4 linked regions of the Notamacropus eugenii genome follow. The protein of the gene in region 1 interacts with the protein of each later gene in a pairwise test. Links are inferred from orthologs where the notes say so. Each region holds a gene or a part of one and is shown in the gene's direction. Other genes may lie near its edges.

The links.
Region 2: the proteins of PRKN (region 1) and GPR37 interact in a two-hybrid assay, tested with the Homo sapiens proteins (2 studies listed by BioGRID). The link is inferred for Notamacropus eugenii from reciprocal best matches to the Homo sapiens genes PRKN and GPR37.
Region 3: the proteins of PRKN (region 1) and RGS2 interact in binary tests that used the Homo sapiens proteins (3 or more experiments, as listed by UniProt). The link is inferred for Notamacropus eugenii from reciprocal best matches to the Homo sapiens genes PRKN and RGS2.
Region 4: the proteins of PRKN (region 1) and RAD1 interact in binary tests that used the Homo sapiens proteins (3 or more experiments, as listed by UniProt). The link is inferred for Notamacropus eugenii from reciprocal best matches to the Homo sapiens genes PRKN and RAD1.

Annotation. Positions count from the first base shown.
Region 1 is NC_092873.1:256,731,388-256,739,328, reverse strand, and holds the start of PRKN (E3 ubiquitin-protein ligase parkin), read left to right. Parts: upstream 1-4,937; 5' UTR 4,938-5,074; coding exon 5,075-5,081; intron 5,082-7,941. Other genes in the region: PACRG (parkin coregulated gene protein), read right to left, coding at 4,252-4,407. UniProt on the Homo sapiens protein: Functions within a multiprotein E3 ubiquitin ligase complex, catalyzing the covalent attachment of ubiquitin moieties onto substrate proteins. Substrates include SYT11 and VDAC1.
Region 2 is NC_092874.1:126,116,382-126,124,012, forward strand, and holds the start of GPR37 (prosaposin receptor GPR37), read left to right. Parts: upstream 1-4,629; 5' UTR 4,630-5,615; coding exon 5,616-6,587; intron 6,588-7,631.
Region 3 is NC_092873.1:449,848,752-449,855,602, reverse strand, and holds the start of RGS2 (regulator of G-protein signaling 2), read left to right. Parts: upstream 1-3,843; 5' UTR 3,844-4,067; coding exon 4,068-4,177; intron 4,178-5,265; coding exon 5,266-5,367; intron 5,368-5,482; coding exon 5,483-5,544; intron 5,545-6,215; coding exon 6,216-6,382; intron 6,383-6,846; coding exon 6,847-6,851. UniProt on the Homo sapiens protein: Regulates G protein-coupled receptor signaling cascades. Inhibits signal transduction by increasing the GTPase activity of G protein alpha subunits, thereby driving them into their inactive GDP-bound form.
Region 4 is NC_092875.1:426,526,536-426,533,723, forward strand, and holds the start of RAD1 (cell cycle checkpoint protein RAD1), read left to right. Parts: upstream 1-4,166; 5' UTR 4,167-4,634; intron 4,635-6,023; 5' UTR 6,024-6,101; coding exon 6,102-6,296; intron 6,297-7,188. Other genes in the region: BRIX1 (ribosome biogenesis protein BRX1 homolog), read right to left, coding at 3,808-4,137. UniProt on the Homo sapiens protein: Component of the 9-1-1 cell-cycle checkpoint response complex that plays a major role in DNA repair. The 9-1-1 complex is recruited to DNA lesion upon damage by the RAD17-replication factor C (RFC) clamp loader complex.

The DNA of each region.
Region 1 (7,941 bases):
AGGGATACAAAAATGTCCTTAGCAGATCTTATGTAAATAAGGAACTGAAAACAAAATATTATATGAACATAATGGAATATATACCATACGGTATTACAAATATAAAGAATTCAGAAAAAATCAAGAGTTGTAGAAAGCGAGCGAATTAGAGACAAGAAACACACAAACACGTATATACACACATAACTTCAACAATGTTGTCAACAAGGTAATATTGAGAAGCACTAAAATTTCATGCTATGCAAGTTAAAGAATATTTACCCTCTTTTTGTTAACAGATAGGTAAACACAATTTTCAGGGAATTTATCATAAAGATGGTTTGTTATTACTACTTGTAAAATATCTCTATCATTAAAATAAAATGTGTCACTTTTTTCAAAATCATCCGTGTATAATTCAAATCAGAAAAAGTGACAAAAGTGAGAATATGCTTCAATCTAAACAATTCAAACAAGTTCTCAGTACCAAAAGAATGAAAAAAAAATTTCTTCCAAAAGTAAAGATACCATTCCTTAAAAAATGTGAGTGAATCAAAATAGTTCTCATAATAAGGAGGTCAAAAGGAACCAGAAATCTTGCTCAATCAACATGTGTAATCTTCTTGTCAACTGGAGGAGTAGAGTAACACATATTTAGGGTGCAAGCTCATTTACAAAACATTATGGAGGAGGAGGACAGAACTAGTATAAATAATCTCATTAAATTCTAAAAAGCAAATGAGGAGAAAATTAATCTGTGGAGAGCTTTTCCTAAGACCCACCTAAACTAGATGATCTTGACAACTGCGTTTCATACCAGACAATAGCAAATAGTTGCAAATGAAATAAATCTTCTTGAATTTTTATGGCTTTATTTTCACTGATAATGATAGTGGAACCACAAAGTTTGGACTTTTACCTCAGTATTCACTGATATTCCATACAAGAAATAATATTGGCATTGATAAATATGAAGGTGGAATTAGTGATTGAACCTAACTGAAAATATATAATGAAAACACCACAATTTTTAAATTCCCTCAAGCATCAGATTGGGAGATTTGCCAAAAAGGAGCTTTTTTTTTTTCTAGCAGAAACATGTGATAGAACAGACATCAACAACCACTGACCCATACACTTGCCTTTGAATCTCTATAAAATCTTTCTGAGACTAGTTTATATAAACATGGAGAATAATTTTGATAAAAACAGATTCGATATCATCAGAATTTTGATTTTCTACCTATATGCCTATATATTTACGGTTATACAATAGTCAAAGAAGAAACATTTTTGCAGAGTTCAATCAAGGTCATGAGAACAGGTTAGTAACTATATGAGGGCAAGTAAATTTAAAAAGTCAAATGAGAGTAAGACTTTTTCTTATTTTTTTCCCTGCTTCAACTAATTACAATTCTCAAAGATCTCCCAACAGAGGTATGTGAGTGGAGTTAACAAATAATGCCCTGTATTCCCACCAATCACTATCTTAAGATCCCAGGGAAATGAAGAAATTAGGGAAGGATCACAGACATGTCAAGAGTTAAGCTATTTCCTGTATGTAAAAGAGAAGCTGGGAAGTTATTTTTCTTTCTCCTTGCTCTCCCTGAATGTTGATCTGACACCATGTTCATTCAGCTAGAAAGGAAATGGAGACTTACTATAAGACAAGAATTGGATATTATGCATATCTCCTTGCAGTATCATGCAGTATCTGCCTGAAACTAACTCCTATTCCAGATATCTATACCTATGCCAAAGTATTGTGTAGAGGCTTAGGTGGAAAGAAGAAAAAATATGAAATCATCCATTTTATTTACATGTCATTTTTCCTCCCATCTCTACTTTCAGGCAAATATTACAAAATAATGGAATAAAGGCATATCATCTTACTCAAAGTACAATAAAGAGTTTCTTGGAAGTCATTTGCTATTCAGGAACAACTAAAAAGTTCCATGAAAGCTAAGAAATTACAAGAATAATATGGATTTACTATTCACATAATTTATATTTATGGTATATTTATATGTATGGTATATTGGTACATAGAATGCTTGACTATATACATATAGATTTTGAATGTAAAAAGATAAATTATATGGTTTTATTTTACAAAAACTTTACATTATCTTATTATTATTGAATATGATTACATATAAAGTATTTCTCCTTATACAGTCCATCTGTTTGATTCTGTGATTATGATCAGATTTATATCTATATGACCAAAACATTCTAAAAGGAGCATCAGGAGTTCCCATGGTAACTCTTTAGGATAAATTGCCATATGTTTTTAATATGGAGCGTTGTAATTGTGACTTATTTAAAGACTGAAAAATCGGACACAAGAACTGGGGGTGAGTTGAAGAAGAGAAGTTGCCCAGAGTTTTAGATTATTATGTCACTGAAAACTGATACAAGCTGTATCCCATTCATTGACTGAAGATAAACCTTAGAAAAGACACTCTTTGGAGTTAATAACTTCATAATCATGGGAAGGTCTATATTGCTGAAAAAAGAAATGGTCAGGTGTAAGTGCCAGAGAAATGAAGAAAGTCCTGTTGGTCCAATCACACTTAGTAGGGTGCAGGCTGCTACTACAAGTTGCTCACACATATTATTTACCTCCCTTTTATTTACCTATCTTTTCTATTACTTTCAAATAAACTTTCTGTATTTTGTTATTCACAGAAAATGTTACTTTCCACCAAAAGGAATAACAAGAAATGACCCATGTTTTCAGAATCACTTTGGAGATATATTAAAGCAATAAATAAAGGAAGATGCTTACGCCTCACAAGAAAAGGTATTTATAAGAAATCTTCCTCAAAGGAATTGTTATTTGAAGATGGAGTTACATTTGTGAAAAATAAAAGTACTGAAATATGTGACTTTACTAGGCCATACACTCTTTAGGAGAGGTTATGCTAAATAACAAAAGGTCTAAGTATGTTGGAAGATACAGATTTGTATTATGAATTATGACTTTGTAATGAGCATGAACTAATGTCATTAAAGAGAAAACAGAAAATGTTTTATACAGTCTTATAAAATTCCAGTAAACTAGTAAAATAGGTTATGAACAAGGAATTATGAATATTAGATAAAAGAAAAATAAATCATCTTCCTAAGTGGAATAAATTTGGTACTGTATGTTGGTGATACGTGAGAATCTTTTGACTTTAAGTATAACTTCTACTTTATAATGAAAAGAATGAGGTTTTTGTAAACAGAAATGTATTGTTTTCCCAAACCTCAAGAAACACAGACATAGACACACACACACACACACACATTCTAAATGAGACACTATGTATAACATCATAATAGTCTTGTCCAAAAGGTAGTCATTTCATAAACTTACTGTATGAGTAACACATAGATACAAATAAGTATATGGGTTTAATGTAACATTAGAGAAAAGATAAATTCCAGTATAACTACTCAGATTCTACCAGTGTAAGTTATACAACTTTGAAAGCTGTTTTAGTTACTTGAAGTTCTATTCCCAATTATGTGGTAAATTTAGTTTGTTATACTTAATTCAAAATCATTTATCAAAGAGAGGCATAATTTATTAATTAAGCTTATGTAAAGAAGTCATCCATACACTTTGTTTTACTGTATACTCCGACTATTTTCCCTCTTTTTTGCTCTTAAGATTATTTTATTTCTAAAGAGCACAAACATAGTATTAAAAATACTATCAAAATAATATTTTGATTATACCAATAGGCAGACATAAATTTGATTAAAATCTAATTGAAAGGTCAGTTTTTGGGCATCTTTGGAGGGGGCCAGGCTTTTAAAGTTTGTATTAGGAAGAACAGTTGAAATATTTTGTACTTCAGTAATACATCCATATTTAATGGGGGTTTGGACAGCTTAAAATTTTCTGCTTTTAATATTATTTTGTCTGATAGTTGAGTGAATTTATGTCGGCTTGACAGTTTTACAAGAGATTCATGTAAAACTCGGAATTCATGAAGTGAAAGGTCTTGAATCTGGGGTGGGGGCAGGGGAAGGAAATCCTCCTCAGACCAGCAGCAGCTGGAGCAGGGTGGGAGGCCTGAAGACTATCAGGTGAGATCTTGGGAAGGTGCTTATCAATCAAAACGTTATTTTTTTTATTATTATTCAATCACCGCAGGATGACGGGCACCGCGTTTCACTTGCCCCAACCCTTTCCGGATAGCGACCGTGCACCTGTATCTCCGTGTACCCTGCCTGATTCGGAGAGAGCGCATGGAATCGAGGAGATTTATCACTTACGACTGAATTTTTCATCATGGCTTTGACAGTGAAGCCGTCAGAAACCAGGGTGTGCGGCTGGTGCACGGGGAGTGGCTGTGGAGGCTGGAGTTTGGTCCTCTTCATCATCTTCTCTGGACTTTTATTTAGATTCAGGGTCTCTTTTTCTGCCACCATCTTCCTAGGAAATGTCTTGTTCCCACATCCAGGGCTTTAAGAATGACTGGGCGGTGGAGGGGAGGGAGGGAAAGACACAGCCGGAGTGGGGTTATGGAGAGTAAAAACGGCACTGTAATGGTAATGAATTCAACCCTCCAGGTCCTGCCCGGGTTTGCTTCTAGTTCCAGCTGTTTGGCAGCTCCAAGGTGAAGAGGGAGTTTGGGGAAGGGGAGGGGCAGAAAGGGGGGCAGGACCGTATTCTGCAGCTGCAACAGGCTTCCAAAGGTCCTCAGCGAGGTTGCTAGGCAACGTATCAACATCGCAGCGGAAGTCTCCCAATGACGTAGCCATTCCAGGCCAAGAGCCGGCAAAAGGGCGGGGGCGGGGCGGATTAGAAAATGAGCGGCAGGTTCCGCACTACATCTCCCAGAAGCCCTCAGGGACGTGTGCGTATACATGCGCGTGCGCATTACCTCCTCTTCACCCCCCCCCCCGCCCCCGCATCTTCAGGGGGCGGGGTAGGGAAGGGTCGGGGAGGGGGCGGGGACAAAGGGAGCGGGGAGCTGAAGGCTTTAAAGCTGTGAACGCTGGTTGTAGGAGGCGAGCGCGGGCCCTCGGGGCAGGCCGCTGCGCGCATGTTAAGCCTCCTTCGTCTGTCCTTAGAGCCACCACCTGCCCAGTGACCATGATAGGTACGTGGGTGTTCTCCAGGTACAGCTGCTTTCCGCCGCCTCTTCCCTCCCCCACCATGTGCTGGTTCTTGACGCAGGTGTGAGACCCTGCTGGTCACTGTCAAGGACGGTCTGGGTCACCTAGCGAGGTGAGGGGTGCTCTGAGTGTCCCAGAGCCCTGCCCCTCCCAGTAGAGGCCAGAACAGGCGATTCTGGCCTTTGGCTCCCCTGGTTTTGCCCCCAACTGAAGGCTGAAGTGCCCCCTTCCCCCGACCCCCAGCCGATACGCAGGTGCTGAGCCCACCTTTCCTTTCCCCCGCGGGTTGTATGAGACCACTGCTCCCTTCCCCTGAAAAGGAGGCCAGCCAAAGAACGTCACCCTGAAAGTGCCCGCTGGAAATTGACCCCGACCCCCGCAAACCCTGCCGACCTTCAGAAGCTGTGGAGGTTTTCGAAGGTCAAAGGCGCCCCTGGTTTTCTCATGCTCATGTTTCCTCCCCATCACCACCTGTCCTCCCCCACCTTCCTTGCCCTAATCTGTCTGCAAGCAACCTTTGACCATCCCAGGGAGACCCCCAAGAAGCAGGACACGAAAGTGATAGGCTTGCAGTGACGTCAGCCTTGCGGAGAAAGGTTGTTCCCACGTGGTCTTTAAACTTCTCGAAGTCTTTGACTAGCTTTTCTTAATGCCCTATTTGAGGGGGTGTTTTGAAGTCTAGGACAAATTGAGATCGGTGATAGATGGAAAACAGCTTTTAATTTTTTTTTAAGTTAGAGGTATTCTTAGTATTGTTAGGCAAAATAGTGAGCAAGTTTGTGTTTGTTTGGTTTTTTTACCCCTATAAATTTGCCCCTAAAAATTAATGGAAAAAAATATGCTTAGGACCATCTTTACGGGACTATCAATGACTTCTCACAACCAGTGTTTGGGGTTTTATGGAATTGGTTTCTGCATTATTGTTGGCACATTGAGAATTACTGATACAGTATCTTTAATTGTTGCAAGTGAATATTCGGAGCCAGTTCCATCCATAAATGTTCAGAAAACATATTACTGTGTTTATGTGTGGTGCTTGTTTATTTTTAGAGAAGCTGTCCCTTCTTAAACATTTTAATTTTATTATAAAATTAATGATACAATGTAAAAGAATATTCTTCCTGTCACTGAAGAAATAAATACCTGAGTATCATATTCCTTTGGGACTATGTAGAAATAAGCTATGTTGAGTTTTGGAATCATAGTCCTTTCCTTACCCCTTCTATCTTGGTACTGCTTTCCAGTCAATGATTCATGGAAATTAATGTTTGAAAAATATTATTAATAGCACACATTTATATATGACTCCTTAGAGTTTACAAAACACTTTCCCTACTACTACCCTGGGAGCTAGATAGTGTTGACATGAATGTTTCTGTTTTATGGAGAACCAGAAAGTTAAAGTAACTCCCATTGTCTTGAAGCTAGTGGTAAAACTGGGATTACAAACCAGTTCTCTTAATTCCAAGTCTAGCAGGTAATTGTCACAAACCAGATTAAGTTAATGTTTTATGCAGACTACTCAGGCAACATGTAAACCTTGACAAAGGTAAAAAACAAAGTCCAAAGAATAAATATTTACAATAAAATTCACATTGGGAATAGGTCAGGAGGGGGGAAAGAAATACCGGTGCGCTGATTAGGAAAGTTTGGAGTACTTGGTCTAATGTACTTTGGATATTTTCTGAATTATGAATTGCCATATTTTTTTGTGCCTTTTAATTAGCAACCTTTCCACTGTACTCCACTATTTTATGTTTCAGTGAATATGATGATGGACTCATGACCGGTAGAGCATATAACCTGGTAAATTTTAACAAGCCAAAAGGATTCTGAATATGGCCCAATGAAGGGCTTTTTATTTGTATTCTGGGGATCATCCTAAGTATATCAGAGAGTTGGCTATAGAGTGATCATATTTATTTGGCTATAGAGGCTAAGACTAAGTCATGGCTAAGTGGGAAAAAGTGTTGGATTTGAAGTCAGAGAACCTGAGTTGGAGTCATAGCTCTGCTTCTTACAGCTTGGGTAAGTCATTTAAGTCATCTGGGCCTCAGTTTTCTCTTATGTAAAATTAGAGAAGTTGAACTGGAGTATCTTTGAGGTGCCCTGTAGTTTTTCATCTGTTGTCCTATGCAGTCAAGATTAAAATATGACTCATAGAGGGGTTGCAATAAGTATCAATGGAAGAAGGACCACATCAACAAAATTTCAAGCCCCTGAAGTGTTGGAAAGTAAGGAAAATCAACAAGTTTGAAAATAGCCATGTGTGTATATTTTAAATAATTATATATTTATAAGTATACATATATAAATATCTAAAATTATTACAATTGGCTTCAGTCTAAGGAATTCATTTAACCCTAGATTATCAACTGAAAAGTGATTATGTAATTAAAAAAACCACAGTAGTTGGACAAAACACGTCCCATAGTGTTCTGGTGACTTAGGGAAACAAGAAATGAATACCATATATATATAGCTGATGCTTTGATTGCATGATGTTGTGACCCTCATGAATGATTGCTTGCAGATGCCTCAGAATAGTTCTTTAAAAGTTTCTTTTTTAACATAACAATGGCAAACAAATGATTAAACATGGGGAAAGAGGGAACATGTTGTTACAGAAAGTGCTAGGAGTCATGAGACCTGAGTTGAAATTTTAAACTCTACAGTTTCTAGTTATATAACTGTGGACAAACAATTTAATTTTTTCTGAATTAAAAGTCCTCTCTAAAATGGCCATGTTACTTGTACTATCTGTCACAGGGTTTTTGTGGGAAAAGCACTTTGCAGACTTACTGTGAATTACTTTAAATGCCATATGTAAAAAAGCCAAGAGGG
Region 2 (7,631 bases), on another chromosome or scaffold:
TCTACCATCTTCCTTTGGTAGATGGTGATCTCAAAATGCTTCCCTATACCTTCATGAATTCACTTAAAGTACCTTTAGAATTCATCATGTACTGAGCACTTTCGTATTGTTTCATGTAATCCTCAGAAGACTTCCTACAAGTGAAAATAATAGTGTCATTATTTCACAGGCGAGCAAGGCTAGCTTCAGAGAAACAAACTATTTACCAACATCATGTGACTAGGAAGTGGCAAAGCCTGGAGTTTTACCCAGATCTTCTGACTAAAAGTTCAGTATTCTTTCCAATATACCTAGGCTCTTGAATGTTAAAAGGATATTGCAGGTAATTTGTGAACTAATCTTTTACACTAGTGTGATTGTATGACAATAACTGTATGTTTTCTTCTGACATAAATAGCAATTTACTTATGATATTTAATTGAAAAGAAACAGACCACTTCATTGATGTCTCTCCCAAAGCACTGCCAGTTTTCTCATTAACTCTAATGAGCTCTTTTGCTTTGTTTTTTCCCACTGTTGTCACAAGCCGAGCCATGACAAAGTTTTGCACTGGGGCAAATAGCACAAAACTTTCTTTGAACGGTTGGCATAAAATATGCACTTCATTCAGTTCTGTAGTTAGTGGGAGTGGATGTTGGTGGAGACTCTGTGACACCTGCAAGGCTACTGGGCTGGGGGAAGTTTGCTGCAGGTGGAGATGCAACAGAGAATCAGTCACCTAGGGAATATGTTCAGAGGTCAGAGGAAATAAGGCACTCCACCTTGCTAAATCATAAGCACAGTTGTTCCTGTGCTGCTGATATACTTCAAGCATTATTTATTCTCTAAATTTCAGGGGCCATAAGGCAAAATTCCAATTACCCTAACCTGGTTAAGGCTGTGGTCACAAGAACAAAAAGAAGGAAGGAAACAAGTATTTATTAAGAACCGATCATGTGCCAAGGATTTTATGAATATCATCTTATTTGATCTTCACAATATCCTTGGGAATTAAATGCTATTATTATCTATTTTATAACTGAGCGGAGACAGAAGTTAAATGACTTGCCCAAGGTCACACAGCTAGTAAATGTCCAAGGCTAAATTTGAGCTCAAATCTTCTCCATTTTAGACCCAAAACTTTATCCACTATGCCACCTATTTGCCTCAGAAAGATAGTTGCTGGGGATTTCTATCTTGTTAAATAGCAATCTGCGAAATAAAAATAATTAAGAACGATAAAAACAAAGACATAAAATGGAATACAAATAACTCCGATAAATTCTTTCTAGAAGCACAATTTTAAAATCCCAATTTTAAAAATTACATGTCATTGCTTGCATACTGTCATTTCTCTTGGATATATGAACTAGATATCTTTTTAAATTCAGGGAATGGAATTAAAACATTGCTTCGGGAATCCATGTATGAAGAAGAGTATATTGGGTGAGAAATCTGATTGCATTCACCCAAGCCAAATTAATATCTCAAACTTCAAAGTAATCACTTCTATTCCTTAATTTTATATTTCCTCTTCATCACAACAAATGCTGGATAAGGTGCAATAAACTAGACAGAAATACCAAGAGAGGCCATTATTTATATGTAGTTTTTTGTGTACAAAAATCAATATTATGTATTACAAGCTCAATGGAATGCTGACATAGCTAAGTCTATGTTCAAATCAGTCCTTATAATATAGACAAATGATGCTGGTACAAACTAGACAATGATTAGTCATCTCTTTTTCAGATCTATATTTTTACAGAGGGACTCAAAGTGAGTAGAGTGGCTATTGAGTCTCACCTTCTCTCATTTATGGGAGAATAGTGAATCTATTCAATGTATATTCTTTTCATTGGAAGAAGAATTCTCTCTCTTTTTTTTAAGTCTTCAGACTTAAATAAAATATTTGATGTTATGACTTTATTTGAAATAAGTTTACTAATTGGGCCAGACTTTATCTTTTACTTTTCATATATAATCTTCTTTGTGATGGTCACACTCTGGAAAGTGCTCATTTTTTTTTTTTTTGACAAGTCAGTGATTGGTTGGCAGACCAAGGCTCCAAGTGGTGAACTGGAGGATACACTTGCCAATAGCTATGGAGTTTTACATTTTCTATAGTTTTTTTCTTTTTAAAGTTGGGTAAATTCTCCCTCAAAGTGCATAGACCCATCAAATCTCTAAGACATACAGTTGTTTTGGGGGACTATTTTCTGTGTTAATAAAATCAAAGAGATAAAAGGGAGTACAAATGACTCAGATGAATTCTGTCTAGAAGCATTATTTTAAAATCCCAATAAAGAAATGATGAATCATTGTTTACAGATGCTATGGACTAAGAGGTTGGTATTCTTATAGGTCTGTAAGAATCAAGAGGCATTTTTTAACTACCTACTTTTTGCCAGGAGGGCAGCCAGGTGGTACAGTGGGTAGAACACCAGGCCTGGAGTCAGTAAAACCTAAGTTGAAATCTGACTGACTGTGTAACCCTGGAAAAGTCACATAACTCTATTTGCCTCAGTTTCCTCAACTGTAAAATGAGCTAGAGAATAAAATGACAAATCATCCCAGTATCTTTGCCAAGAATATCCCAGATAGGGTCACAAAGAGTCAGACAGTTCATGATATTTCTAGAATATTAGAATTTAGAGTTGGAAGGGACCTGAAACATCAACTAATCCAATTCCTTTATTATTACTATTTTTTACAGATGAATAAATTAAGGCCTAAACAGGTAAAAATGACTTGTTTAAGGCCCTGTAGGTGATAAATTACAGGGTATAGATTTGAATCCAGTGACTCTGACTTCAAATTCAGTGCCCCTTTCACTCTAAGTCTGCTTTTCTGTGTGATTTTTCAATGTAGTATGGAAAAGTGTCTCAGTTACCAGTTACCTTCTGGGGAATAATGCTCCGCTCAAAATAGATGTGTTTAGTGAGAATGGAGAATCTGAAAAACAGGGTTTTCCTCTAACCCCTCCCCACCCCCATCTTGGTTGCAGGCAAGAGAACAAACATTCTATAACTAGAAAGACTAAATTTGCACATAAGTGCAACAATCTTGAGAGAGAGAGAAAAGTCCTGTTTGCAGTTATTTTCACAGCTTTTATTCAGATTCTGTTACTTCTGAGCATCTCTACTTTTCTCATTCCTCCTTTATTTCCTCTCTCTACCCCCTTCCCAAAGACTAACCCATGGGATGGCTAGTCAGTGAGGCATGTGAGGGCATACTCAGCGTTGGAAAGAAATGGTCAAGGTGGGTAGAGAGGGAATTTGGCCAACTTCCCCTCCCCCATTTTCCTTCCCTTGGTATTGCTGGCTCATTTACTTCATTTGTTTCCTTCATCTAAAAATCTGTCATGTCTTATCTTTCTAATTACTGTGAAATTGAGGGTCCAATAACAAAGGTTTTCTAAGGTGAACTAATTACCGGGATTGTTCTTTATATTCCATACTTTGAGTATCAGCCCCAACACATTTTCTTTGTAACTTTGTGGTGGAATAAGATCTTCAAGCTGTTCTTTCAATTTAGTGTCAAAGCAGGCAATGGAAATGTCAGATTCCAGTTCTTACATTTTTAAGCATAGACTGGCATGGTCTCAGATAATACTGGGCTGTGTGAATTTAGGAATGTTAATGTATTATTATTATTGGCATCTGCTAGGGGAGGCACTGATCTGTTATTCAGGCCTGACCAGAGGGTTATAAATTCGGATAATTTCCTGAGTCCCTTTTGCTGCCGGTAAGGAAAACAGACAAGGGCTGTTCCTTGGAGAGACGAAGAAGGGGGGCGGGGGACGGAGGAAGGAGAGACTTTCCTGGCAAAGCTTGGGGAAAAAAAGCTTTGGAGCCTGAAGCTGCCTCTTCTTTTGGGTCAGGGCATCAGAAAACTGGAGCCTGTTTAGGCTTTAGCATAGTATCCCTTCTTCAAACAACAAGAAAGCTTAACTACCCACCCAATTTGCCCACACACTATGTGGGGACGGAGGCGGGGCTTAGTTTTTTCTCTTTTCCCACTCTCCACAAACAGATCCTACTCCAAACGTCCTTTGTGTGGATTTACGATCCCCTAGGACGGACTCTTGCTAATTTGGTAGCCAAGTAAGAGCGGATCTATGCTACTGAGACTTTTCCTATTGTCCTCCTCACTCCCAGTAACAGTAAATCCTTTTTCCTTCGTTTTTCCTTCAGCCCTTGGGAAAACCTGGGGAAGTGCGAGCCGCACCTTGCAACTCCCAGTGGCTCTGGCCTGGGCATGCTCAGTAGGCAAGATAGCTTTTGGTAGCTCGTCCGTGGGCACCTTCCCGGCCCGGTCCGGCCCCTCCCTGCTCCCTTGGCAATCAGACCGGTCTGACCCGTTCCAACAGCTGGAAGAACTAACCTAGCCCAACCTTAGCTCCGAAACCCAGCCCTGGGGGGGCTTGGCTTCTCCATCCTCCCCTCACCAGTCGTCACCGCATCCCCCACCCCTCTCTCCTCCCGAAAGTGGAAGCAACTACAAAGGGCTTGAATGTAGCGTATGAGGATTTAGTGAGCCCTAAACCACCAGGGGAACCCGTCTCCTCACAAACCAGCATCTCTCCGAGGAGGAGTCGGAAGAGACGAGCTTTGCGCTCCCACAGCCACGCGCAGCGGCGGCGGCGGCGGCGGCGGCGGCGGCGGCAGCAGCTGGAACCACAGCTCAGCCCTCCTCCTTCCCCCTGGCCATGCACCGCCCCGGTCGCAGCTGTTTCAATCCTAACGCTTTTCACCCCGAGTGCTCGGCCAGTCAGTCTCCACTTCATGCTCCTGAGGGTGCCAGTGTTGTCAGCTCTCCAGGAGCGCCGGTTGACCCGCGCGTCGTCCTTCTTTTCAGGGACTGGTCGCCGGACAGCCTGGACTGCTCCCCGGATAACTTGGAGCAGGAGAGGAAGCAACTTTGACTCTTGCCGCTGGGCTCTTCTAGCGTCCCCACTTCGCTTCTCCTTGACCGCAATAGCTGAGCTAGTCCCCAACGTCAGGCGGAGCCAGTTTTCTAGGGCGACTCGCTTTCCAGCACGGCTCGGCGCAACCTGTTTACTAGGAGAGAGGTTCTGGAAGAGGATTGTCTAAGGCGAGCAATCGTCTGGGGGAGGGGGACGTTCTTCCCTGTCTCTGGAGACCTTTGCTTGCAACGGGATAAAGCAACATCAAGAGGCTGTAAATAGACAGCCAGAGATCCAGAGCAACTGTTACCAAGAAGGCAGAATCACAGGAAAAAAGGGAGGAGCGTTGGGTTTCAGTGGGGGCTTTTTATCTCTCCCACTTGTAACATTAATGCTGTTAATAGTCAAAGGCGTTGATTGCAACTTTTCAAAGGTCAGTCCCTGTTCCGAAGAGGAAGGAGGTTCCCCACTCCCATCCACGCTTGTGGTGCTCAGCGCGTAGCTGGATTTAGTTAGGGGAATGAACAGAATGTCAAACGGAGTAGTGTAGGGGGTTCCAGCCTAACCCTCCTCGTGGTCCCAGAGGAAGGCACCCTCCGAGCGCCGAGGAGCTCATCCCCGCAGTGACATGTGTCTAACTCTCGGCGCCAAATTGGGCAGCAGGTGCCGGTCCTAAGGAGCCACTGTTGCCACTGCCAGCCCCCAAGGTGCCGAGTGAAGCGGAGCCATGCGGCCCCCAGGCGCGCCCCTCGTCTTCACCTTACTCCTCCCGTTCCTGCTGCAGCTTGAGGTTTCTCCCGCCGTAGCCTCTGGGAACCAAACCAGTTTAGGGAAGACAGCCTTGCCTGCTCTGACCCCGAAGCAGCGCGGTTGGGAAGTTTGGGGATCGGGAGACGTGTTGCAGAAAGTGTTGTCCAGCAGCCCCAGGGGAGCAGCTGTAGCCAAAGCACAAGAAGAGGAGGAGGAAAAAGAAAGAAATACATTAATAGCGCCTTTTGGGAAACTGACTGGGGCTCACAGGACTTCTCATGTGCCCCCAGAGAGGAGGCCTGGCATCTGGCTAGTTCCTCTCAGAGCAGCGGTGATTGAGCTGCCGGTTGCCCTTAGACTTTCCTTGGAGACGGATAAAGAGAAAGGTGGCAAGGATATTGATCTAGGAGGCAGCCAGGGGCAGAATGTCAAGACCCATTCCGGAGCCCCGGAACCTTTCTCCAGGTGGAGGAGAGCTGGGAAATCCCGCGGTGATCCCCTGACCAGTTCCCCCATCTTGGGGAGCGCAGCCAATGTGGATAAAAAAGCGCAGGAGACAGTGGCAACCGAGGGGAAGGTATTGCCTTTAAATGGATCCTCTGGAGAGGCACTCCAGGAGCGGAGCGTCCCCCGCGGGGGAAACGGCACGAACCGGCGCCCCAAGCTCAAGAACCCCTTCTATCCACTGACCCGAGAGTCCTACGGAGCTTACGCCGTCATGTGTCTGTCCGTGGTGATCTTCGGCACTGGCATCATCGGCAACCTGGCTGTGATGTGCATCGTGTGCCACAACTACTACATGCGGAGCATCTCCAACTCCCTCCTGGCCAACTTGGCCTTCTGGGATTTCCTCATCATCTTTTTCTGCCTGCCGCTGGTCATCTTCCATGAGCTCACCAAGAAATGGCTTCTAGAGGATTTCTCCTGCAAGATCGTGCCCTATCTCGAGGTAATAAAGCCTTGCAGTGGGTCACCACCACTGGTCTTGCTACCCCTTAAGTGGGTGTGTTGCCCCAAGGCATTACTCAGCACACCCTCTCCTCCCTGATCTACACTCCTTCTTCCCCCCTTTTCTGCTTCCCTTACGTCCTGTCTCACCCTTCCAGCTTCTACTAGAGGCTTTGCACACACTTTTAAACTTATCTGCCACCCTTGTGGGTGAAAAACTGCTGATAGAATGTCTAGACTAGTCTGGATAGTGCTTGTGTCTGCCCTTTTGAGCTGGTATACAGTATACCAATCTGCCTGCTTTGGCACCTGTGACATATTATACATCTGGATTGGCAGCTAATATACACCAGCTTGCCACTCCAGATAGGAATGGTTTGGACCATCAGAACCCAGCAGGACAAGGAAAGAAACTTTTGTCTCTACCCAATTCCCTCCCTTTCCTTCCCCCAAGCTTTCCACAGAGAAAATGTGGATGGATCTATTGTGTCCAGGTGTGACAATCCGAATCATCAAGCTCTGTTAACTAAACTTTCTTCTTTCCATTCCTTCTTAAGAACTGGGTTTGATTCAAAATGTTTTCCACAAAGGTATAACTGGCCTCCTGATAAATACCTAAATATATTTCACAGACTCTCATGTCATCCAAGGTGTCTGCCTTCCATGTTAAGGTGATGAAACTTTCTTTCATTTTCTTCCCTCTTCCCTCAATTTCACAACCTTTTCCTCTAAAGAAACTGAGCTTAGAAGGAGACTTTGGTTATCATGAGACAAGATTGTCTTTTAAGTGTATGTCAAACCCCACTACCTGTAACATTGTTCTTGGCACTGATTTTAAGGAATAATTTGATGAAAACAAACAAATAGAACCTTTGTAACTAAAGTTTCTTAAGAGGGAAGTGGAAACTTTGGCCATATAAACAGGAACACATCCACCGAAAAAAGCCCCTTGAAACTTTTCTTCCCTCTGCAGTTACTGCCTTGAGTGTGGTGGTTGGAATTTGCTTTAAAAATGGCCTCTCATTTAAACAACAGCCATTGGAAA
Region 3 (6,851 bases), about 190 Mb from region 1:
ACATGAGGACTATTTCTGAGCACGTCTGATGAGTGGGAAGTAGTGTGGAATTCACAAGTTCCTTTTATAAGAAGCAATTAATATCAGCTACCACAATACATGGTAAGAGAAGTGAAAGTTTTTGAGCTTCCTGAAATAGTATAAATTCTGGGCTAGAATTTTTTTTTCTATTTATTTCTTCTATATATGGTCAAAGGCTAACATTTTAGCCTTTTATCATTGAGGTATTAGTTAAATAATACTTCAACAGATCTGAGATTCAATAGTATCCTTAACAGGTTTAAATCTTATAAAAATTTAAAAATAAATCCAGGAGCTGGATCTCTCTGTATTTGGTCAAAAATCTTACCAGTAGGGGGCATGGTCATTTCAACAAGAACATAGTCAAGTTCTCAGGCTGCTAGACTTGAGCGAAGTTTATTGCTTTTTGTGTTTATTACCAACACAGGATGGAAAATATGTGCCATTTTCAAATTAAGTAATCCACTTTGACTAAAGTCTATTTGCAAGAAGAAATAAAGAAGCATATAATCAAATGAAGCACTTTTCTATTTAAGGGCAGTAATAAAATCTTTATTTTATTAAATACCATTCCTGCAAAAATACATTTTAATGTAGATTCTCTGTACAATATAGTAACTATATTAACTATCAAAATTAAATACTCACAATACTCTTACCATCTTTCCTAAATATTGTAATAGTCATAGACAATTTTAATTATGTTATAATTAGTACACATAATTCCTAGAAAAATTCATTTATAAAATTCTTTGAATATTTTAATACCTGTAATTATGCATATCCTATTTCCTAATCTTATTTGAACTACTGGTTTTCCATGAATCCCAGTTCAACTATACCTTCTAAGATTCCAAATTATGCATACATAAAAGCTGGAATGGGGGAAGGAGCATATGGAAAGAGGGAAGAGATAGAGATACAAAAACCATTTTACAGTATTAGAAAAAGAAAGCATGCATGCTTCTTACTTCCTTAATTTTTCCCCAAGAGACTGAGGGAAAATATAAATTAAATACCTGTGGGTCATCTAACGTTTCAGAATCAAGTGCCTTTCCAGGATTACACAACAGCCTTATTCTTCTGTTATTAAAATAGGTGAAGCTTCTGCCCCTGTGGTCCGTGGCCATGTATTTTTTCCATCCTTAGAGCTCCAGCTACTGGCAGATGAACATAAGAATAATTATAGTTCACTCATAACTGCACTTTAGTCTAAAGAAAGGTGAGATTTGCAACCATGCCAATACTTTGCTGTAACTTTTACAATCAGATTAGATTCTTGATAGGAAACGATTTGGAATTACATAGGAAACAAAGACTTGTGGTTCATTGGCAAAATTATCCATTTGCCTTGCAAAGATAATGTAGCTGATACAATAGATCCAGTCCCAGCTGTCATATCTATTGTGTTCTTTTCACACTGTGTGCAAGTGGAGGTGGGGTAGAGAGGGGAGGAGATGGAGAAATAAAAGGCACCTGAATATTCCGCTGCACGATAAAGATGTTCTCTGCAGTCACAGAGTTGAACTGTATAGTACAGAGGATAGAACACATCTGATGAGTAGGCAGTAATTTAATTTTCCTCAACTGAACACTGACTTTACACAATCATTTCATAAAATCAATTAATATTAACTATCACGATACATGATAGACAAGTGAAAGCTTTTGAGCTGCCTCAGCATAAATAGGATTATGCTCAATTCTGGAGGTGTTGCAGAGAAATGCAAATTATAGTACCGTGGAGGTCTTTTCTTCTTTATGGTCAGCACTCCGTGTCAAAAACTTGAGAAAGGTTAAATACATAATATTCAAATATATTGAAACATAAAATACTTGTACATCCTAATTCTGCCAAATGTCAAATGTACAGGAAAATTTTACTCTGCACGCCTATGCTTCTAAAAATAACATGGTTCAGAATGAACCCCGGTCTCTCTATACGGATTCTGGAATTGAGCCAGGTTAATAAGCATATATAATGGAATGAACCCTAAACTTGACCTGGGTTTGAGACCTGTATCTTTTACTTATTTGTTAAGTGGCCTTGGATAAGTCACTTTGCCCCAAGAACCTCAGTTATCACATCTGCAAAAGGGAGGCAGAACTGCATGGCCTCTACAATGACTTCCAGCTTAAACATTCTGTTCCACCAAAACACATGAACAAACACTTCCAACACACCTAAGAGCCAAAATCCCTACATCTTTCTACAGGATAAAATATTGGAGAGGAGAGGGGAGAGGTAGAGAGCCATGAGCAGGCGATGGATGAAAATAAATCAGTCGTTGTTGTTCAATAATCTGTCATTGTGTCCAATTCTTCGCGAACCCATGTGGAGTTTTCTTGGCAAAGATACTGGAGTGGTTTGCCATTTCCTTCTCGATCATTTTAGAGATAAGGAAACTGAAGTAAGCAGGGTTAAGTGACTCGCCCAGGGTCACACAGCTAGTAACTGAGACTGGATCTGAAGACTCAGGTCTTCCTGACTCCAGGCCCGGTGCTCTATCCATTTCACCACCTTGCTTAACTGATAGTAGGTGCTTAGCATTAAGTGGAAGTACTTAGCACTAAGGGGCAAAAGAGTTAAAAATCTAACATGGTGGAATAAAGAGATGTGGTCAGAGAGACATCCATCCTTAGGGTCTGTGATTCAACCCAACCAGCCTCTGACTACCTGTCTAACCTTGAGCAAATCACAACCTCTGGACCTCATTTTCAACATCTTTAAAACAGTGGGTTGATCTCTAGATGACCTCTGAGATTCCTTTCAGCTCTAGATCTATGAAATCTAGATTTCAATTATTGTATTCTGATAAACTAACACCTTCCTTCTACTTTTTTGTTTGAACAATTCCTGTTTCCAAACATTGTCTTAGGTGTGTTGGTCAAACCTGAGATTCTTACAATGGCTGTGTCAAAAGTAAGCACTTCCCCTTCCCGATTAGATCAGATTTTCCCCTAAATAGAACAAGGTGGACACAATCCTATTTGGGAGCCCTGCAGAGAAGGTCCAGGTGGGAGGTCATTCAGCATAACTGCATTCACCAGGCTGCCCTGACACGAACGTTTTAAGGACATCTTGAAGGGCTTCCCAGGTCAGTTCCTTAAACAGACGTAGAGGAACTGACCTGGGGCAGGAAAGCGTCCAGCTGAGACCTGAGTTAGATGAATGTATCTCAGAATCAATCTGGCCGAAGTCAGCCACAGCAGGGTTCCGAACACCCTTTGAAAAAGGTGAGACAGTTTTCAATGAAAGGCATAATACTTGGTGAGGCGAGTTTGGTTCTAAGTACTGACTGCTTTAAACTAATCAGTCTCGGAAAGTAATTTACTAGGCTCTGAGCCAATCAATTAAACAAGGATTGACTTTTTTTTAAAAAAAGTCTCTGACAGTTCACAAATTAAAGCAATTTTCTCAGTTAAAAAGCTTCACTTTTCAATTAAAATATACAATGGAGTGAGATGTACCAGGGCGGAGATGCTGAAGCCCAGATTTCAAACACGATTCTTATGAGGTGTCTTTTGGCTCATGGGGTGAGGAGGTGGGAAGAAGAGGGGGAGCACACCGAGTCGTGCCCATCTCTCTCCTTTCTCCCTGAATCAAGAACCGCTCTTTCCATCCAAGGTGGCTCCAGGTTCGTCTGGTGAGCCCCGCAGCACGCACGAAAAAGGTTAACAGCCTGAGCCATACAGTGAGAGATCTTTGTTTATTCCCTTCCCCCCCCCCCCCCCCCCCCACCTCACCCCGCAAAAAAAAACCCTTTCAGAGTTTCCAGCTCCGTTTTGGCATCACTGCGCATGAACTCACAGGGAGCACTCACGTCAGCACTGTCCTCAGCTCCAGCCCCAGTGAAGGGTGGCGGGGACTCCCGAGGCGGTCGCTGACATATCTTTTGTTCCCAGCAAATCCTCTCTGCGGCGGGGCGGAGTCGAACGCCATCGCCCTCGCCTTCCCCAGCCTCCGAGTCTTATAAAGCCCGGCGGCTCCAGGAGGAGCCTTCAGAGGCGACTGCCGTCTTCAGCCCAGTTCTCGGATCTGTATCATGCAAAGTGCTATGTTCCTGGCTTTCCAACCCAACTGCGGCTCCATGGAGAAAAGTGCCAGCAGCTACCCAAAGGGCGAAGAGAAGAGAGAAAAGATGAAGCGCACGATGTAAGCATCTCTCCCACCTACTCCCATTTCTTCTCCTTTTATGGGATTTCTTCAGAAACACTAGGCATCAGGAAGCTTTTCCCCCGGTTAGAAAAGCATAGTAAGAGGTTACTTTATAACAGGCTGTATCTCAGTCTTTAAAGGAGACTAAAGTAAGGTTGTAGCGGTTTTTATTTATCACAGTTAGGGGGAGGGAGGGTCTTGTTCTCTTATTTAAGCCAAGAAGAATAAATTGGGATGCATTTAATCCCCGGACATTCCTCGATTTTTAAAAGAAGAAATCATACTCCCTCCACTCCCTCATTAAAGAAAAATAAAAGTAGCCTGAAAATCCTGTCTTCCCGAGTTCCAGCCTTTTTCTCCGTATTCTAACTCTCCAGGTCGGTAGCTCTGCCCGACTTCTATCTTGCTCCTTGGACAGGGATGCCTTTATTGATACAGCAGGTGCTGGGCTTACGAATTTACTTCCCAAGTGAGAAGAGTTATTAAACTAGGAGACCTACTTCTTTGGCTTCTCTCTTCTTAGAAAGTATTAAAGCTCTTTTGTTTGAAAGGAGAAACTTAGAATTGCTTTTGAGAACTGTTGCACAAACTTTCCACGTAGGGCTTTATCCAAAGCCTTCAATTTTTGGAGGGGGGGGGGGGGGAGTAAGGAGGAAACTAATTAGACTGCTCTGACTCATTTCAGTGTCATTGAAGTAGATTTCACCAGATGACTGAAAATGGCCCAGAGTTGTCATAGTGTTGCAGAAACTAAAATTTCACACTGGCCAAAAGGAAAACCTGTTTCATTCACCACTTTTAGGATGACTTAAAGTTTCTCAATCATTAAAGCAACCTCACCTTGGCTACTTAATGAACCAGTAAAACCAAAAGCCATGTTCAGATCATTCAAGATAAGCTTAAACATTATTAGTGCAGAAAGGTTCATTTCACTGCAGTGCTTAGGTTTTTATTTTGGTAAGGTCTTATTTGTCTTTCTGTCGTTTAAGATTCTGTTTCTGGTATGAATAGAAGTACTTGGTAAAATGTGGGCAGCTATAATGATAAAGCATCATCACTCACTGAATATGATTGTTTCCTTTTAGCATAAAAGACTGGAAGACACGTTTAAGCTACTTCCTTCAAAACTCATCCACACCTGAGAAGCCAAAAGCCAACAAGAAAGGCAAACAGCAAGCTTTTATTAGGTAAGTTAGAGATCCCAAACTTAACAGTGGACTTTTGTCTAATGTGCATTTTGCCTTTTCTTTGAAGTAGGAGAAATTCAAATTTTTTTTTAAATGTATGCACTCATTTTTGCAGACCTTCTCCTGAAGAAGCACAGCTGTGGTCAGAAACTTTTGATGAGCTTCTTGCCAGTAAATGTAAGTGGAAATATTAAACTCAATCTGAAGTGATTTTAATCTCGGTAGCTGAATCCATGGATTATAAACTAGATTGATGTATTTTTAGAAGTTGGACATTGCAATTGTTTTCCAGGGTCAAGTCCTGTAACATAAGTAAGGTTTGGATTAGTTGTTTTTTTCTTTTCCCCTCATTATGAGGAAGTTCTGCCCTAAATTCAAACAAATGTCCTTTTTTTTTTTTAATAACCAGTGGAATTGTGTGTATTGTTATACCTCCAGTAAAATATCCTCAGGTGGGAAGAGAGTGAGAGAGTGAGACTCAGCCTGATTACAAATGCATTTGTTCACAGTTAAGGTTGAGTCAACTTTTCCTTTGCAAACAATGTTTTCAAAGGGCTTAGTTCAATAGGATTTATGGTTCCACCAGAGCTATTTCTTTTTCCTTGATAGCGTAGTTTTTATATATTTGAAGGTGCTCTGGAATGGCAATGTGCCAACCTTAAGAAATTTACCTGCTGGCATTTAAACTCTGAAACCTAGAGCTTTGCAAGTTTGAGTAAATTCTGGCAAGTTACTGCAACATAGAAAATCCTGTATTGAAGTCTTAGGTTTGTTGAAAAGATAAATAACAGAAAGTAATGTAAGACATTTTTATTTTAATAAATTCTTCACATTTCCCTCCTCTCTAGATGGTCTTGCTGCATTTAGGGCTTTTTTAAAGTCTGAGTTTTGTGAAGAAAACATAGAATTCTGGCTGGCTTGTGAAGACTTCAAGAAAACCAAGTCTCCCCAGAAGTTGAACTCAAAGGCTCGGAAAATTTATACTGACTTCATAGAAAAGGAGGCTCCAAAAGAGGTAATAATCCTTCATTTTGGCACAATTTTGAATACTTTAAGTTCTTAGCAGAATTCCAGTGAAAAGAAGGGCAAATATTCTTTTGTTTTAATAGGACAAAAGTTTTTATCCCACCATAACTTTCCATATTTTCCCCCAATATTAACTTTAGAGTATTAGGGCATGGTCCTTAATATTTTTTCATGACAAATATTAGCTGTTATCATTATAGCATTTTGAAATATGTTAACTGCTTTCCATACAACAGCTTCCTTGAACTGGTCCATTCAAATGTTATCTCCAGTTTTTACAAATAATGAAACTGACTCTGAGAAGTTGTGACTGACCCACAGTTACAAAGCTAGAAGTATGAAGCTGCACTATTCTAGATTCATGCCCAGTATTTTATGACATCTGAAATTTAGTTATTCAACATTAATATGATGTGCTGAAACTTAACAAACCATTGTCCATTTCTATTTCAGATAAA
Region 4 (7,188 bases), on another chromosome or scaffold:
CAAAAACTTACCTCAAAAGCAACTACCTTCCAGTCTTCCTGGTCTTTCTATGGACAATAACTACACCTCTCCCTCAAAACTACTCAACCACTCAATACTTTTATTAGAAAAGCAACTTTAACATGTAAGTGCATGTGTCATTGATTCCTCAAAGCCTATTGGCTTCTCCTGAGAGTAGAGACACCATCTTAAACTTTTTATCTCATTCAGCTACTAACAATTCTCTGCACACAAAAGGCTTCAAATGCTTGAAATTTTTAAGAAAAAATGGTAACACCTGGTAAAATAGAACTATTTGTAATAAAGTGGATAAATGATCAGGATACATATCATAGGTTATCAATTACTTTCCAGCCGGTTGCCAACCTTCACCCTCTTTACAACTTTTTTCTTGGCATTTGAGGCAATCTATCATTTTTGCATTCCTGTTAAGTCTCTGTCACTTATTCTTTAGCTTTTCATTAATCAAAAATGGACCTTCTCAGTTTTATTCCAAGCCCTCTTCCCTTTTCATTCATTCAAAAAACATTAGGTACAGGGACATAAGATAAATATAAGACAACTCCTCCCCTCCAAGAGCTGCATAATGCTTACTTACAATCTGTATTGAAAAATAAAATATGTGCACAGAAAAGTGAATAAAATATGTATACAAAGGAGATACTAATTAATTACTGGGGGGAGCACTATCAACTCAGATTAGATGTGTTTCTAGGACAAGAGGCACTTGCGATGAGCTCTGAGGGCAAGATGGGAGAGCATACAGATATGGGAGATGATCTGGGAAAGATCTAAGGCAGAAAGTGGAATATGGCTAGCTGGAACACGGAGAACACAAAGCGGAATAAAGTATATAACAAGCCTGCAGAACGTGGCTAAAGCCAGGTAGGGAAAAGCTTCAAACACAAGAAAAAACAGCGTATGCCAGTTTGGTTGAAATGTGGAGCTAGATGGTAAGGGGCTTTAAAAGCCAAACAGAGGAGTTTGTATTTTATCCTAGAGGTGGTAAGACAAAGCCACTGGAGCTTTCTGAGCAGAAGAGTAACAAGGTCAGATGCTTTCAGGATAAATGTAGAGAATGGACGGAAAGTGGGAAAGACTTGACGATCAATTTGGGAACTACTGCAATAGGCCAAGACAGAGGTTAAGGAACATCGGAACCTGGATGGCAGCCAGGTATGGGGAGAAGGGGATGGCTACAATAAATACTGTAGACACAGAATCAGCAAGACTTGCCAAATGAATTTCATGAGGGGTGAGAAAAAAATGGAGAAAAAGGATGCAGACCTGAAAGACCAGAAGCAGGACCCTAAAAAGAAACAGGTAAGTTAGTAAGAGGAGCAGATTTGCAGAGAAAGATGAGCTCTGTTTTATATTTGAATTGTCTACAGGTTATCCACCTGGAGATATCTTCACAGGTAACTGGTGATAGAAGACTTGAAAGATATTCTTCCAAGCATATAGTTTCAACTACCACCATTCAGAATCAAAAACTCCAAAATCCCTTTTATCAGATTAACCTCTTCTAATTTCATCTTTCCCTTACCTCTGCTAAACCTACTAATTATCATCCCTGTGCCTTCTGATCCCAACCCTCGATACTTTCTCAAGCTATCTAACTCTGATTTTCTGCTTTGGCTCCACTTTATTGCCCCTTCCCAATCTCCACTTTATAGTTGGCCAGTTCAGCATTATACTGTTCCTTGACCCCTGACCCTATCAATCCTCATGGCTTACCAAACCTATCCATGGATTATTTTCATCATCTGCCACTTGCTTCCACTCCTGTTCATATGCTGAAGACTGGAGATATGCAGCATCACACAACCAAGCTGATGGAGGCCAACACTCCACTTCTCAACTCAGTACCTTTGCAATGGCTGTTCTAAACACCTTCTTACGTCCTCCTGAAATCACAGATTTAAAACTGGAAGAGACCTTAGAACAAGTCTTCGAGTCCAACAGCCTCTTGACAGCTTGTTGCCTACAAAACTTGGAGCAAGTGCCACTTTCTACATTCTTTCCTGATCTCTCCAGCTGCTAGTTCTCCTCCCCATATCTATTTTGTATACACAGTCTTCTCAAATAGAATATAAGCTTCATGATGGCAAGTACTATTTTGTCTTTGTACCCCATGCCTAAAATAGTGCCTCAAAGATAGGAGAAACTTAATAAATGCTTGTAGATGGATAACTAAATCTCCAGTCTCTCCAACTTCTTATATTTCTGCCTGTTATACCTCAAACTAATGCACCTCATTTCTATTCCCTCAAACAAATTTCTCCTCAGACTCTTTTGGGTATGTTACCATACATTTCTGGCACTAAATCTTAGGAAATTCTCTTACTCTGTAAGCCCCCACATCCAAACTGCCCATTTTTTCCTTCATCTCCATATCTTCCTTTTTATTCTCAGTGTCAACACCCAGATGAGGTCAATAATCTCCTAACTGTTCACACTGCCTCCAGAGCTCCAGCTCTTCAATATATCAAAACACCATGGCCAGATTAATTTTCCCAAAGTTCTTCTTTGGCCACATCACTCCCCTGGTGCTTCATCGTTTACCAAGCCCCTTAACTCCTGACAGTCTAACTGCATCCTCCCTTTCCTAATTCAACTCTCCACCATGAACTCCTCACTCTTTCCAATCTGAACTCTATTTTTCCCCAAAAAACACACATGGCACTTGTGCCACTCTGACACATTTGTTCCTGTCAGTCACCTTCTCCAACTGAAGTTGTTCTTCTTCCCCTACAGAAATCCCAACACCCTTTCAAGGCCAATTTAAAAGGCCTCTCCCCCTCCTCTTCCTCTGCACTCGCAGCACATCTGACCATTTAAGTGAGCTGCACACTAGCTCCACTCTCTCTCTCCAGACCCATTCACCCCCAATGGTCCACACTGCAGCGTCCCCCTCTCACATGCTCTGCCCTTTCCACAAACCCTGGCCGCATCTGGCTCCCCTGGAGGTCCAGCTCACGGGCCACAGCGGACCTTTCACGACTCCCGGATGTCAGCTGCCCTTTCGTCCTCCGTGACCGTGAATTTCTGGATGGATGTTTAAAATCCCTAAGCCCGAGCACAACATCTAGGGCCCAGGAGGCCCCGAAGGAAGACGCACAGCAGAAATCCTGACTTATTTTGGAATTTCTCCAGAACCTCCGTCAAGCTCGAACCTCAGCGGTGGTCCAGTAAGACGTGGTCCAGTAACAGAACCACCTTAAACAAACCCCAACGTTCCTCTGCCTACAACCCGTCAGGGCAGGGAAGAGCCCTGTCAGAGGCGGGAAGACCTAAGTTCAAATCCTGCCTCGGACGCTAGCTGTGCCACCCTGGGCAAGCCCCTTCCTCTCGGGGTGCCCCCGCTTCTTCAGCGGAGAACTGGGGTTAACAACAGCCCGGACACAAGGGGCAGGGATGCCCACACACCTTCGTGCCCCCCCACGCCCCTCCCCAATCCAGCTCTTTTGTAGGCCGTGGCACCTAGCTGTTCGTACGTTGTCTGAACTCGTGTGGACTGAACTCCTTGCGCAGGGACTGTTTAAAACAAACATGCTTAGGACAACGCCTGGCATGCAGTAGGCGCTTAATAAGTGCAGGCTGACTTGACAGGCCCTTCGGCCTGCGCTCCCAAGCGACAACCACGTGCGCGGGCCGCCGCGAGCCCGGCCTGACAGCGGACAGGGGGGCCGAGGGCTGCACCGCGCCGAGTATCGCCAGGCCGCCGCACCCTGGCGGGGAGAACACCGGGTTGGGGTCACGCGGGGGCCCACGCTCCCACGCGAGACCCTCAGCTGCCGCTCGTACCTTGGAAACGGGGCCCGGGATGCGGTACTCCTCCTCTTCCTCTGCCTTTTTTGGGGCTGGAGGGGGCTGTTTGGCCGGCGCTCCGGCCTTTTTTCCTTTTCCTTTAGGCCTCTTCGCCTCGGGACCCCCTCCTCCATGCCGCTTCCTCTTGACGGCCGCCATCTTGCCCAGACCCCCTTCTTCCGGCGGTCGCACGTTGTTCATTTCGCCTTCCACTCCTTGCCGCCTTGCCTCTCTCTCCTCTTTCCCGTCTCTATGGTACCAAAAGCGTTTGGGGGCAGGGCAGGGGGCGGGGCAGAGGGCGGGGAAGGGGGCGGGGTGGAAGCACATGCTTCCTCCGTAGCTCAACCCAACCCCGGTTTTCCTTTACGGCTGTCGCACTGTGTAGTCGTGGGGTCTGGGCAAGCGCAGTAGAACCAAGCCAAGACTCCGACACTTCCCGTCCGCCTCGGAAGCCGGAAGTGGGGCTTCCTTCCGGCCTTGGGGGCGGGAAAAACGGTACACCTGAGGCCGGCCTGCACTGGAGGGGCGGAGGGGAGCCGAGGCTTCTCGGAACGCTGCGAGGATCGTACGGGACTGGGAATTTATTCCTACCCACGGATATTTGGGCTAGTGAGGCACTGAGCTAGGAGTGGGGCCGCGGAGACAAACAGCCATTGCCCCGGAGGAGCCGGAGGTGGAAATAACGCTTAGATGAGTCGATACGAGAGAAAGGGAGGAGGAGAAGGGAGCACCCAGCACCGGGAGGGATCCGGAAAAGCTTCCGTAGGAGGGGACCCCTGAGCCGCGCCGGAAAGGAAGAAGCGAGGAGCCGGAGGACCCCCCCGGTGTGTTCCGTCTCCTCCCTGGGTCGGGGCGGTGTAGACAGACAGAACCTTTTACCCGCCCTAGCGCTGTGCTCCGTTGGGAGCGCCACGTGAATACTGGGGAAGAGCTTGGATCTGAGTTCGGATCCTTGGTGTGCCAGCTTTTTAACCGGCGAACCTCTCTGGGCCTGTTACAAAGATAATAACGGTAGTAACGGGCGAAGCGGTTTAGAAGCGTCGCCTCTGGTCCTCCCCCTACCCTGGGACGTGTTTTTATTCCCATTTTATTTTATATCATATTTTTATTGTATTCGGACTCATTTTTATTTTATTTTCTCATTTATTTTTACATTATGTTTATTTTCATTACATTTATATCCTCATTTTTATTTTTTCTCATTTATTTTCATATTATATTTTTATTATATTTATACTCTCTTTTTTGTTTTCTCATTTATTTTTATTCTCGTTTTATACGAGGATACATATTTTATATGAGGAGACCCTCATTTTATATGAGGAAACTGAAGCAGACAAAGATTAAGTGACTTGTTTTAGCTACACTGCGCAACCTCCGCTTTATCTGTAAAATACGGTGTTTATTCTGAACGATCTCTGGGAATCACTCCAGCTCTAAACCCCATGTTCCTTTCACGGGGAATGGGGAGAACTTGCCTAGATCCTGGCTTTGACTCAGCTGAGATGTAGTTTGGGACAAGTCACTTCCCCTGACTTAATGTTTTGTATAAAATTTATACTATCATCAGATACTTTGGAGTAGTGGATAGAGAACTAAATTTGGAAATCTGAAAGACCTGGATTCAAGTCCTCCCTTAGAAACACATCTGCCAAGTAACCTGGGCAAGTCACTTCACTTTTCAGTGCTCCAAGCAGCTTTTTACAATTATAAATTGTAGACTACTTGTCTGTCTGCATCTCTAGAGTGAGTTTCTGCACCAGGACTTTTTCAAACTAATGAATTCACAGGTCTGGCACCCCCCCCCACCCAAAAAAAAAATCCAAGTTGTGATTGTGAAATCATGTGAAAATGTTTTACAATGTGAATATATTATTTTATTCTTAGAACAGCCCTATGGGAGTCAGTTAGGGCATTTTTCAGGAAACATCCTCAGAGAAGTGACTCCCAACTTCACAAGTCCTTTAATAGCACAACTCACACTTTAGTCCAGGCCTCTTGATTTCTAATTTAGTAATGTTTCCATTACACATTTTTTTTTCTCCTGCAGTTGGAGGGGGTGGAGTGAGAGGTAAACAGTTGTGCTTATACATTTTGCTAAGAAAACAAAATTGGTTGGCAAAAAAAAAAAAAACATTTTTGGAGGGGGATACAACTGAAGCAATTCTTTTCTGGAGTCACTGAACTCAAATTAGATTTTATTTTTGTTATAGGTTACCAAGGCAGACAGCTGATTAATTCCAGTTTAAATTAGGAAAACCCAGTGGAAGGAAACTTATGTGGAATAGAAAATGCCACTTACCACACAGACTGAAGATGGAAGCGATCAATATATTTTAGTTGCCAGCCTTGACAATGTAAGGAATCTCTCAAACATATTAAAAGCTATTCATTTTAAAGACCATGCTACCTGTTTTGCAACAACAAATGGAATCAAGGTTACAGTGGAAAATGCAAAGTGTCTGCAAGCAAATGCATTCATTCAGGTACGAGGGCAAGCATACTCTTACACTATTCATTCTTCATCTGTTGTGAATGGGTAATCTGTTAAATTGGTACTAGGGAAAGAGCACTGAAGTTGGGAGTCAGAAGTCACAAGCAAGTCCTTTTATCTCTCTGTGCTTTAGTTTATTCATCTTCAAAATAAGAGGTTTGGGTCTGATGACCTTCGGGGTCCCTTCTAGCTTCTCATCTGTGGTCTACAAAATGAGGGTATTGGACTACATGACTTCTTAGATCCCTTCTAGCACCAGTGTTGTAGGAATCCTACATAATATTCACAGATCGAAATTTAAAATTAGCTGAAAGGATTGTCCAAGTTCTTTCCCTATCCTGTATTGTTGATTGTAACACTTTTTGAAATATCTGGTTTTTAGATAAAGCTTAGGTATCTTTGTTTTATAGAAATTTTGCTTGTGATAGGTGTTAGAAACACTCTTGACACTAAAAAGGTATCAAGGAAAATTTATTACAGTAGAGTTCAGAGGAATTGAACACTTTGACCAAAGCACCCCGCCTTCTTTTCAGGAGGAGAGAGTGCTGAATACAGAAGTGAGATGAGCCATATACTGTTAGTTCAAGACAGATCCTCCCACCAGGAGATGGATTGGTCCATTCTCCATTAAGTCACCATCTTCTCTACATGCTCATTATGTAAGCCCCCTTAGTGTGATTCCCCCTCCCAAACATGCTTTAACATAGGACCCATGTTAGAAAATGGAGGGATAATTTTATGCTGTGTCTGCTTATATCCATGAGGTTCATTAATCAAGCACAGTGAAGGAAACCTTCTCCAGGTAACTCTAGGTCATTTTTCTTGGCTACTTTCAGCTAGCTGTGGATTTGGTTCCTTTATCAAAAACTGATTTTCTAAAGGCC